Linked DNA regions of Oryzias latipes. The protein of the gene in region 2 purifies or fractionates together with the protein of the main gene of each other region. This does not show direct contact. Links are inferred from orthologs where the notes say so. Each region holds a gene or a part of one and is shown on either strand. Other genes may lie near its edges.

Evidence for each region.
Region 1: the proteins of mtf2 (region 2) and jarid2 purify together in Homo sapiens (affinity purification with mass spectrometry; 3 studies listed by BioGRID and IntAct, with this or other methods). This does not show direct contact. The link is inferred for Oryzias latipes from reciprocal best matches to the Homo sapiens genes MTF2 and JARID2.
Region 3: the proteins of mtf2 (region 2) and ezh1 purify together in Homo sapiens (affinity purification with mass spectrometry; 3 studies listed by BioGRID and IntAct, with this or other methods). This does not show direct contact. The link is inferred for Oryzias latipes from reciprocal best matches to the Homo sapiens genes MTF2 and EZH1.

What each region holds. Positions count from the first base shown.
Region 1 is NC_019869.2:23,831,832-23,836,239, forward strand, and holds the start of jarid2 (protein Jumonji), read right to left. Parts: upstream 2,880-4,408; 5' UTR 2,349-2,879; coding exon 2,304-2,348; intron 1-2,303.
Region 2 is NC_019875.2:5,984,621-5,988,269, reverse strand, and holds part of mtf2 (metal-response element-binding transcription factor 2), read right to left. Parts: intron 525-3,649; coding exon 414-524; intron 284-413; coding exon 183-283; intron 112-182; coding exon 1-111. UniProt on the Homo sapiens protein: Polycomb group (PcG) protein that specifically binds histone H3 trimethylated at 'Lys-36' (H3K36me3) and recruits the PRC2 complex, thus enhancing PRC2 H3K27me3 methylation activity.
Region 3 is NC_019866.2:6,666,061-6,670,254, forward strand, and holds the start of ezh1 (histone-lysine N-methyltransferase EZH1), read left to right. Parts: upstream 1-1,315; 5' UTR 1,316-1,650; intron 1,651-2,436; 5' UTR 2,437-2,452; coding exon 2,453-2,620; coding exon of another isoform or gene 2,621-2,626; intron 2,627-2,733; coding exon 2,734-2,859; intron 2,860-2,943; coding exon 2,944-3,066; intron 3,067-4,069; coding exon 4,070-4,187; intron 4,188-4,194.

The sequences.
Region 1 (4,408 bases), on a different chromosome or scaffold from region 2:
CTTATGTTTCAGGGGGGAAATGGTTGAGCCAAGCATGTCTAATTGTCTTACGCTAATTAGGGGGCCGTAAAGGAGGGGGAGGGGGTCACTAAGGGTCATGTCTCAAAGCCTGGAGGGTTTACAAGAGGACCAGAACTTCTCTGGGTTGTTGTAAAAAATAAAAATAAAATACTTTCTTAAAGGCTTATTTTGGTCTGGACCAGACGTAATGGATCAGCCGCAACTGCTGAAAACACATGACAGATGTGACACATGCATATATATTCAGAACTGAAATGTGTTTCCTGTGCTTAAGCTGCACAATTAGCCAACTTTAAGTCTCAACACTAGGCAAATTAGGACTTGACGCCAAAAGCTATACGTTTATTCCTAAAAAAAAAAAACATGAAAGTCCATGGCTCCATTCTAAACCAGGACTTTTATTTGATTGAGTCACTATTTCCACAACATCCTGCTTTCTCGGCCCAGAGTTACTAGAAAACAGCCCGATTGGGTGAAAAAATGTGAGCAGGCGAGGCCTCTTGTTGCAACATCACTACATGAAACTGCATGGTCAGAAAAAGATCACAGCTGAGTCAGTGCTATGACTAAAAGAAATGACTGCTCTGCTACTTTCACTGGCATTTCAAAAATCCCAGATATGGACCGTTTCCCATCAATAAAAGCAGGTAAACTGGCACCAACATGTTAGAAGTAAAATCATCATCAGTGGAATGCAGATAAGGATGCATTTGCATGAGTCGTCCTTGCTGGTAATTGAGACAAAATATACAACCAAGCTTCCTATTAGGAACCAATAAAACTAAAATACTCTGAAAAAAAATCTTTTTTTTGCATCTATGGATAAGAATTCAATTCGTTTTGGGGGGTTTTATTCGTGGATTTTAAACGCCCACATGGGGAACTATTTTCTTTATGAGCCACTCCGCGTGTCGTTTTGTTGAGGTCACTGCGGGGGGGGGGGGGGGGGGGTCTTTGAGTTCTGCTGACTTAATGGGGCTTTTTAAACAATACATGTTGTCCGTTTGGGTCAGCAATCATTACATCAGAAGTGCAATAAACTTCTCGTGTAAAGTCACGGACTCTGATCCGAAATTTCAAAAAATATATAATAATATATACGTGTATGAGTCATGCGGTGGGCTCGGGTTAAAACTAGCCGAACTACTTTTGAACCCCCAAAAAGGAGCATGGAGCAGCCCTTCCCATCAAACTCAGCGATACTCGGACAAAAAAGAAAATGGTCGCTACATACATAAGCCTCTGCAATGCGACTGAACACAGACTCTTAAAAAAAAAGGAGGGGAGTGGGAGAAGACTGGGTCATTTAGGAGCACCGCGTTCAAACAGGCCGACCGAGCGGCGTTCCGTTCGGCAGGAATTCAGCCGTTGAGGTCGATACCTAAAAGGTTGGCAAGCTAGCCTTAGTGCTGAAAAAAATGGAGTTGCCCCCTCACCGAGCGGCACCTTCACAGAGGTCACAGCTAAAATACCGGCAGCCTGTCGCCCGTCACCTGGTCGAGAGGGTAATAGGCTAAAAACATATATAAACCCCAAAAAGAAAGTAACCTTCGTCGTGTAACGTGATAGAAATTGGGTGAGAATGCGGATTCGCGTAACCCCCCTTCCCTTCTGCGCTGCCTCACTCTTTATGGAGGAAATTAAAGAGCCGCCACAGCATGCAGTCAGTCCCCCCCACCACCACCACCAAAAAACGACACCTATTTCACCCTAAACGTGAATTATATACACATTTAGAGATACGACAACGCCTCTGATTTGGCCGACCTAGTCCTCCAGCAGCTCGGTTACAAGCCGAGATGAAACGCTCAGCATGGGACGAAATGGAAGCCGAGCTATGGCCGACAGGCTCGTCTGCGCTGCTTCGAGTAGCAAGAAGCGAGGGGGTCGAACAAAAGCCCAGTTTTCTGAGACCCTCCGTCTGACCACGGCTCTCCATCCACGACCCCCAAAACACGACCCAGGAGACGCGTTGCCTCCCGCTGTCGCGCGTGAAAAAACCGAGTCGAAACGAGCGAAAAGCAGCCCGTGTTCAGATAGCATAAAACATGGGGGGGTGGGGGGGTATCGAAGAATAAACACGAGCTGCACCTTTAAATTCACGGCCAGATCCGCGCTGACACGCCGACAAAAGCTCACATTTAATGGAAACAACCCCACAAAGCTGCCTGACGGTAACCTTCACAGCCCGCGATGAAAGTTTGTGCATTTTCATCGAGGCGAGCCGAGCGAACTTGAATACAGGAGCTGCATTTAGGAGGAAAAAAAGAGGGTTTACTTACATATTTCTTTTGAATGATATTCCTCTTAGGTCTTTCCTTGCTCATTATGCAATCCCACCCAAAAAAAATGTTTGGCTATAGAGAGAATGGCCACATGAATTTCTTCTTTCTTTTGACTCTCGCCTCTCCCGGAGCTCTCCGCCAAATGACGATTTAAATCCCCGGCTCGGTCGGAAAAGCTCGCTGGCCGTAGGCTGCAGGAATCCTCCGGCGGTGTTCTCTCCTCGGAGAAGTCGGAGCTAAATCCCCACGATTCAAGAGTCGACGACGGACAGAGACGGACTGGACCCAAACTTACTTGGGGGTAACATAGTCAAAACAAATGCACAACAATAACTTCCATTCGCCCGAACAGCTCGGCCACTCTGCGCACCCGCTCGTCTCGAAAACATGCAGATAGCCGAGGTTAGGTCAGCAAGTCACATCCTGCCCGGTATGACATCGTGAGAAAGCAATAAATAAAAAGAGAAAAATAAAAAAACAAAACGTTAGGAATCGCGGTGTTTCTGGCTGGAGCCCGCAACCATCGACAGAGCTCTCCAGCGGCACTGCTCTGCTGACTGAGAGCAGCTCCTTTCTTCCCCGGCCTCCGCCTCTCCGCCTATCACGGAGGCGCACGAGCGCGGAGCGGCAACTTCAAAGTCCCGGAGAGACAGCCCTCGCGAGCTGGCCGCTTGTTTCGTTCCCCCGTGGGGCGTTTGTTAAAAAATGGGATGGAAAAAGGAGAATCCATCTCTATATGTAGTCTATTTCGTGTTTTGGTTTGAAAAATGTACCACAGCAAGTAAGGGAATGTGGGTATTTCTGCATAAGGGTGTTTTGTCTACAGCAAGCATGTCCAAAGTCCGACCCATAGGCCAAGTGCGGCCACCGGCCCACAGGCTTCTGTCACAAAATCAATATTATGCAGCCCCCAGCAATTCTGAGAACTACTTCTGAATTGTGACTGGCTAGAGCCAATGGAAGCTTAAGGATACAAACAACCAGTAGCTACATGGGCGGCCATGGTGCAGTGGTAGGGTGGTCGACCTTGGATAGCAGGTTTGATTCCCACCCATGTGTCCCACAACTGCATGTTCCTTACAATTGGGTTATCGTTTAGAAGGGAGACAAAGAGGCTTTTCAACAGTGTAACATTTAATTCCAAGCATTGCTGGAAAACATAACCCACCAAACACAATTTCCGCCCATGTGTCGTAGTGTCCTTGGGCAAGACACCGAACCCTACCTTGCCTCTGGTGCAAGGTTGGAGCCTATGGAGTTCAGTGTGTGAATGGGTGAATGAGTTTGTGACTGGAAAGTGCTTTGGGCCATCGAGGAAGGTAGAAAAGTGCTATACAAGCTTACGTAAATTTACATGACTTTCAGAACCTTAAAGCTCCACTCGGATCATCTTTTGGTCTATTGCATGATCGCTGCCTGTGGACTTTTGTTATGGTAATGCCGTTTTTAGCACCAAAAAAAAATGGAGCTATGTCCGAATTCTTCAATACTCACTATATACTGTGTTCGAGATTTTGTAGTGCTGTCCGAATCTACAATTCCAAAACCAATTGCCCTACAAACTTCCCAGAAGTCTCTGCCAGTGTGGATTAATGCTCACTGGATTGCAAATATAGACCACAATGCATTGCGTTTGAACACTGGTTTTTCACAGATACTTCTAGGAAGTTTCTGGGCCACTCGATCTTGAATAGTGAAGGAATTCAGACACAAAATTGTAAGGAAGTTCCGAATTCACATTTTACTGAAAATGTCAAAACAGAAACTGGCAAACAAATGTAGCGGTGGAATGGTAACCCTATTCGCTGGATACTAACGGGTCAAATCAATTTCAATCCGTTTTTATTTTTAATCTCTGCAATATAAGAAGTAGAAAAACCTCTTGAGGTGGAATGCTAATGCATAAGTACCAGCAATTGTGTTTGGTGGGTTATGTTTTACAGCAATGCTTGGAATTAAATGTTAAACTGTTGAAAAGCCTCTTTGTCTCTCTTCTAAACGATAACCCAATTGTAAGGAACATGCAGTTGTGGGATTAGCAGCCAAGATAAGTACGTGCATGAACAGTTTGCCAAATTTCTCCTTTTAAATGTGCACCATTT
Region 2 (3,649 bases):
CCACACCAGCTTGTCCAGGGCGTAGGGGAAGGAGAGCTGCAGCTCCGTGTGCTGCTGTGCTTCGGCGTCGTGCTTCGTGGCCGACGCCCTCCTCTTGAGTGAACTCCTCTTCTGCAAACAGACGGACATCTTTAAATGCGTCCTATAAAGAGGAAAGGCTGCATCCATTCAGAAGACCAAACCTTCGATAGAGATGCATGTTCACAGTCCGAGCAGAGCCACTCGTCATCAGAGTCGATGACTGCAGCGTCGATGACGGGGTCGTGACACAGCTGGTGGTATCCTGAGAGACAGGCAGCGTCTTTACGTTTCTGACACGTCACTAAAGCCCCGCCCATCCATCATGAGGATCCTGGAGCTGCTTTCAGCTTCTGAACAGTAAACTGGCTCCTTCACAGAGTTTCTCAACTGACCTTGTCCACAATTGTCACAAATGACAATCTCATTGGGTTCCTCGGACACTTCCTCCTGACATATAGAGCACACAATGTCCTCGTCCTCCTCGTCTTCATCATCTTCATCTCCTGAAAAAAGACGAACGCAATCAAGGCCAACAACTGACCACAAGGGGCGAGACAGCTACCAATCTTCCTTTTATCTGATGGATGTGGAAATGAGCCAACAGCAGCAGATCTTCAGCCCAGCTGTGGCCGGTGGATCTTTCCTGCACACACTCCTAAGGTAAGAACGGCCACATCACAACGTTCCACATGTGTCAGCAACACCGCCTCACGTGTCGAGCTCACAGAGTGAAACCGTGTCTGTGCACGCATCGCTCCAGGAGAAGTCACGTGACCGATACACCACTGAGTCGCTGCGTCACAGCGGCTGTGGTTGGTGGACACAGGAAACGCGTCGACCAGCAGTGTTGCCAGATTCTGTGGTTTTCTACCCAATTGGGTGGGTTTGATTTTGATACTGTAGAGTAATTTTGCTTTAAGCGGGTTTTAGCTAGTTTTATAATGAGTCTAAGCCAGTGTTTTTCAACCAGTGTGCCGCAGCACATTAGTGTGCCGTGGGAAATAATCCTCATTAACTGATCTAAAAACATTTTCCATCTCCAGGATATCAGCTCTGTGTTCATCCAAACAGGCCCTGATAAAACACTGAGTAGTTAGGAATATGAAAGATCATAAAATACTTTTTTCTGTTTATTTGATTATATTAAAAACATTTTGATAAGAATGACGGTACCGCGATTTAGCCGTAGCTTCACCTCTGTTTTTGGAAAATCCCCCCCCCTTTAACTGTCTCTGCCAATCATTCTTGGACCCCTAATCATACGTCATCAGTCTGACCAATCAGAAGTGGTTCATGTCTTCACTTCCTTGTTCAGATTCTGCTCAAAGTCTCTCAGTTCCACCAAAAATACCAGCTAAAGCTCGGTAAATACTAATAAAACTTCAACATGTTCACTTTTTGTGTAGCTACAGAAAACAAATGTCAGTCTTTTGGTGTAAATTTGATCAAACATGTCGTGATCATATAATTTTTCAAAAATTACAGTTAATAAACTGGAGGGTAAAACAACTACCAGGGTAAAATGTCAAATAATTCAGATGAAAATTATTACGTAAAACTAACTTAACTTTTATTGCATCGTTTAGAAAAAACAGCTGCAACTTTCAGATTTTTCTGCCACAATTATCACAAAAATGCACGTGAGATCTTGGAGGGACTCTAGATCAATACAGACTATAGAGTTTCTCCTTATTTAATTTTTGGATGATGTTGTGCCGCGGGATTTTTGTCAAGGATAAAGTGAACCTTGGCTCAAAAAAGGTTGAAAAACACTGGTTTAAGCCATCTTTTATTTTGAAAAATGACCGGATCTTCTCGGTTACATTTCTGTCACTCGGGTGTTAAACCAATCCAGCGGTGAGTTTAACAGAGTAGGAAAAAAAATCCATTTTTGATGCCTCAGATAGCGCAGCTTCCAGCCATTTTCCCCGCCCACCTGTGTTTGGTGTTTTATTTTACTGAGTCTTTACTTGTTGAATGTGGTGTTTCAGTTGAGTTTGTGGATTTATTTAATAATAGTGTTTTTGGTTTATATTTTTTTTTCCTGTTCCTCTATTTTTCCGCTTGATCTAGCAGAACACTTCCATTTTACCCTCTTATTTTTGATGAATCCTTCAATGTTTCGGAGGTTAAGTGTCACATTTGTTCAGCAGGACTGTCAAACTTAAAAGCCCCTCCTTATTGCTGGGGCATTATAGAGCGAGACATGGCAAAGAGGACGCCACAATGACAAATTTTGGTTTAGACTAGGTCAGTGTTTTTTAACCTTTTTTGAGTCAAGGTTCACTTTATCCTTGACAAAAATCCCGCGGCACAACATCATCCAAAAATTAAATAAGGAGAAACTCTATAGTCTGTATTGATGTACAGTCCCTCCAAGATCTCCACTGGATTTTCTGTAATCATTGAGGCAGAAAAAGCTGGATGTTGCAGCTGTTTTTCCTAAATATTAAGAAAGTTGTGAGTTTTCAATAATAATTTTCAACTACATTGGTTGAAAATGTGTCCAGGTAGTTGTTTTTCCTTCCAGTTTATTAACAAGCAATTTTATGTAACCTCACAAAAACCAAATGAGAACAATATTTCTAAACAGTGATTTATTTATTTATTAAATGTTATGATCACAACATGCCTGTTGTCGGTTTTCCAATTTAGTCTTAATCCTGTTAATTTTGTTATTTTTTGTATTTAAGATCAACTCTTCAGATTTTTCAAAAGTGAAGCTGAATTTCTCCTGGATTACAGATATTAGAAAACTGTTTCAGTTAGAAACATGACGAGGACCAAACACCAGAATGTCTGGCTGTGAATGATAAACACTAATCACACAGGAGAACCAAACTGTTTACGTCTGATTTCATCAAGAAGATTTGAAAACTGTTAAAACAGACTCGTGTGTGCATTCGTTGGGTTTCATGACAGTTAATAGAGCCGGGTCATCGTAGAGACGCTGTCACTGTAACCCAGTGCTTCTTAATTATGTTTTACAAGGCCCCCCCCTTAGGAAAAAGAAACTGCCCCCCCCCCCCCCCCCCACACACACACACACACACATACTCGCCATGGCTACAATATATAAGTTAGTATAAAAACAAATGTGCAAGTATACCTAAAATTGTATCTTTTAACATTAACAAAAGAAAAAAAAAATCAATATAAATCCACCTTTAACAAATACTAACTTTATTTAGACACAGAAACCCTGTTATAGTCTAAAACAGAAAAGAAGCTTAAAGTGCCTAAAATAAAAAAATCTGTCAGTCATTATTAAACTAGAAACATTTTGACCAACTGAACCATTTGATGCTGAGAAAAATAATTCAATCAATAAATAATATTAAATATAGATTTCAAATCAGAAAACAGTAGATATAGAAGACTGAATAAACACAAATGTATTATTGATTTATTTACTTATTGATTTTTATTTTATTTGGGTATTTTATTTTACTTGAATGAGAGTTTTGTAAGTAATTTATGTACAGAAAACAGATAATAGAGTATAGTTAATAGTATATGTTCCATACAAATTTACTGACTCTCAGACACTCACACATTGCGCACATGTGTGTGTGTGTCTGTGTGCGCGTGTGTGCGTGCACGCTGACCCCGCCTTCAGTGGCCCCAA
Region 3 (4,194 bases), on a different chromosome or scaffold from region 2:
ATTTTTTAAATTGCTTTAGTTGTAGTTTTTATCAGCTGCTTTAGAAACCTTTTCCTCACCAAGTTTTTGCTCCAGATACTAGAAATGTCTTGTTCCAAATCTGAAGAAACCAGTTGCAATAGAAAGTTCAAAAATCAACAACATCACAAGTTTTAAAAACTGATAATGTCTTCACTTCCTAAATTCAGTTTGTTGTCTTTTGACAGTTCATTATCAGCATGTTGCTAGCAACGGCCTACACTGCTTCTAAATTGCCAAGCGTGCTTTGTTGACTGAAATATGACCACTTTCACAAACCAAAAGCATAAATAATACCCCAAGCGGGTGTGGTGTAACAGTTCAGAGCAGAGAAAAGAAACACAATGTGTTATGTGATGTTAAAAATTGTTGTCTTAATGCATGAGGAGTTAGAAAAGTAAAATTATTCCATGACTGGCAGCAGAAGAGTGCCATCTTGTGTCTCATAGAAGTATTGTCTCAAAATTCGGACGTTTATGAACTTTTATCTCCCAAAATGAAGAAAATAAAATAAATGCACAGAGATTATTTATAATTTATAAAAACCTCCACAGAAGTGATAAAATCCTGGAACAAGATATGATGATGTGTTTTTGGTTGAAATTCTGATTTTTAATGTATGTAAGGTTGAATAAACGATGTGCATTAGTTTGGCTTCAAACATTAAAACCTTTACATGCTATGACAGGAGTCTTTTGTTGAAAATCAAATCATAAACATTTACAAATGAAATAGATCCAAGCACTGCAACAAAACGTTAGACCTGTTATTATTTTTGACTGTTGGAAATGTGATTTAATTAAACTATACCACGCCATTTTACTCGTAGAGTATATAAGGTATTTGAGACAATTTTAGAAAAAGAAAAATAAACAGGTCATTAAATATAATAAGATTGGGCTCCCCCTGCCGGAGAAATGTAAAACAGCAGCTAAATATTTAGACAGGTCCAAAGGAATGTTAGAAAACTGGAGGCTGGTTACCAATTAAGTCTTACCTGAAACTCTCACTTACAGATATTTGTATTCTGAAATGAAAGAAAGACTATTTATATTTGGTTAAAACAGTTTTTGCATTTTTTTTTTTTTGTTTTTTGATCGATTGTTATTTCTATTATAGCCACACAGCCCTATAAATTACACTTTGACCTTTTTTAATTGCTTAATTGTAGATACTGAAATAGATGCTGTATTTCCATTTTAGTTTTTCTATTTTTCACCTTGGTCAAAGAAGAGGGGTCATTCATTCAGATGGTACTTCAAGCAGTTGCATCAGTTCCTGTGCGTGTGCGTAATGGCTGTGCCGTTGCTGCTCCACGCTACTTTTTATTCCTAGGGCGCAGAATAGACATAAATCCCAGCTCCGCTTGGAAGCGCTCTGGTCGCAGTAAAGACGTCACCCTCGTGCTCGGGTTGGTTCAACCAAAGTGCGCAGCTATTTGTACGCTCCAACAACAACCTCCAGCACCATGCGTTTGGATAACGTGCTGCTTTCACGGAGATCCTCTCGCCTTCTGGACTCGATATTTTCGTCTAATCCATAGCACAAACGATTTTTTTTCCTTCTTTTTTTTTTTCTTCCCAACGCCGGGATTTGATCGCGTTGCACCAAAATCGGACGTGGATTTTAAAGGTGTGTGACTGCGACACTGGACGTGGGGATCTGGACGCACACACGCGCGTGTGCAGGAAAACCTTCATTGTAGAGGAGTCAGTGCGCAAGTCTTAAAAGTGTTCTGGGTTTAAATGGACACGGTAGTGCGCCACGGTGCTGTGGCTGCACCCTCAGGACGAAGCCCCGCTGCGTATCTGTGGTGGAAACGTGTTTACGCGTGAAAATCAGACCCACGGCGACAATTTCTGAGCTCCATTTTCATATGCTATTCATCTGTCACTGTGTTCAGCTTGTATCTTTGGGGAAAATGTTTGCAGGCGGTTATGAAACACTAAAAAACAGCGCTACGCACTTTTCTGCTCCGCCGAGGCACGCCCACTCTTTAGAAATGTGGGCTAAAAAACCACGGACTTCGTGCTTGCACGCATGCCTGGACTGTTGGCTTTTTTCCGCGTGTTTCACTATTATTATTTTACCCCAAGTATGGCTATAATCATGGGGTAACCTTGAGATTTTAAAGCACCCTTCAAAAGGGCTTTTTACCAGTAGATGGCAATTTTGTTTTGCGAACAGAGGGGGGCGCTGTTTTGCAAAAACCTGCAGCAGTGGCTTATGGGAAAGTGCAAGTGTTCTGTTTTTTTTAAAACCGCCTTCAGGCTTTGAAGATGGAGGAATATTTATAAAAATGAGCTAAAATGGAAAAATACATAAAAATATTTTTTATAAGAAGCTGGTAACAGTTTGCTTTAACACATTCTTTATGGCAGAATTGTGAGTTGACCTTTGACTCATTTGTTTTGCCAGAGTTTGTCCTGCAGTCATGGAGGAAACAGCACATCCTGCCCCTGGTACCAGTGTTGCCCCATCTCAGCCAAGGCCTCCGCCCTGCACTTTTGCCCCGTCCCGCAGCCTGCTGGAGTGGAGGCGGAGGGTCAAGTCAGAGTATATGCGCCTGCGCCAATTAAAACGCCTTAAAAAAGCAGACGAGGTCAAGGTAGATTTAGAGTTGTGTCAGCATCTTCCATTTGAATACTAATAAAGTACTTTGTCCCTGTTTCTCATTCACTCAAACCTGTGTTTGGATTTCTACTGTTTTTATAGACCCTGTTCTCATCCAACCGGGAGAAGATTGAGCAGCAGACTACTGTCCTTAACTCAGAGTGGTCCACGCTTAAGATTCAGTCCATCCCGCTGTCTGTGTCTAATGTAGCACTGGCTAATAAGAAGGTGATGATGTTTAGAAACTGCCCATATATGAGGAATATTGCTCTAGGTTCTCCAAAATGACTGTTTTTCTGGGTTTTCTTTCAGATGTGTTCGGTGGAGTTTGGTTTCCCAGGATTCAAAGCTCAAGCCATCGCCATGAGGCCACTGTCAACAGTGGCAGGGATCCCATTCATGTACTCCTGGTCTCCCCTGCAGCACAATTTCATGGTATGTGAGTGGTGCAATAACTGGGGAGCAGTTTCAGTCATTTTAACTTACCTTGATAACAATGACTCTCTGATTGGGGTCAAATAAGGATCAGCTTAAACACCCACTCCAACAAAAATTGTCTTTTGGGTGCTTTTAACACGTTCATGTGGCATTTTTCTGAGGGCCACCGCTAGGGATTTTGTGCCCCATGAAAATCATTTTTTACAGGGCCTCTAACACAGTGGCAAATATTTTTTGATGCTGTTTCACATGCAATTATACATTATGAAGACATTTTTCACTATCATTGTCATCTTTGGGACAAAATAACATGACAACTGACATGTAAAGAATGGGAAGAACTGAGCAGTCTCAATACAATATTGAAAATTTAAGTTTCAAACTTGAATGAAAAGAAATATATAACTAAAAGCAACTGAAAAATAATATTTGTTTGTAACAGCTGCTTCATTAGAGGAGAGATGACACCGGCCGCGCCATCAACAGACGCTGTTTCGTAGTGGAAATTATGTTACCAGAATCTCTATCACCACATGTCAATCATGCTCCGGTAGCCAATGGGCTCAAAGCCCCACCCCCATGTCAAATAAGGCTTAATAAAAAGAATTGAGGACTGAAAGCAAAGACAGAGAGAAGCGAAAAAACAAAAGTTGAAAACACAAAACAGCATCTATTATAAACAAACATTTATCATTTGGTAACAGTTTTAGGTTCATAGTGTAGGTGCTTTTCTTTTATATTAAAAGTATAAATTTACTTTTTTTATTTTCAATATCTCCTTTAAGTTTTATATATATATATATATATAGAGAGAGAGAGAGAGAGGATTTACAATCCAATTTTTCATTAACTTTTAGCTGATCCAGATTTGATTGAAACTTTATTTTACCAGGAAATCCCTTGAGATAAAATTTCTTTTTTGAGAGAAACCTGTACAAGAGGCATTGGCACACACTCACACACAGCTCTGAGCCTTGCGTCCTTTTTTGTGTTTCTGAAGGTAGAGGATGAGACGTTCCTCCATAACATCCCTTACATGGGCGATGAGGTACTGGAACAGGACGAGGCTTTCCTGGAGGAGCTCATTGATAACTATGATGGTGTCCATGGTGACAGAGGTTTGTG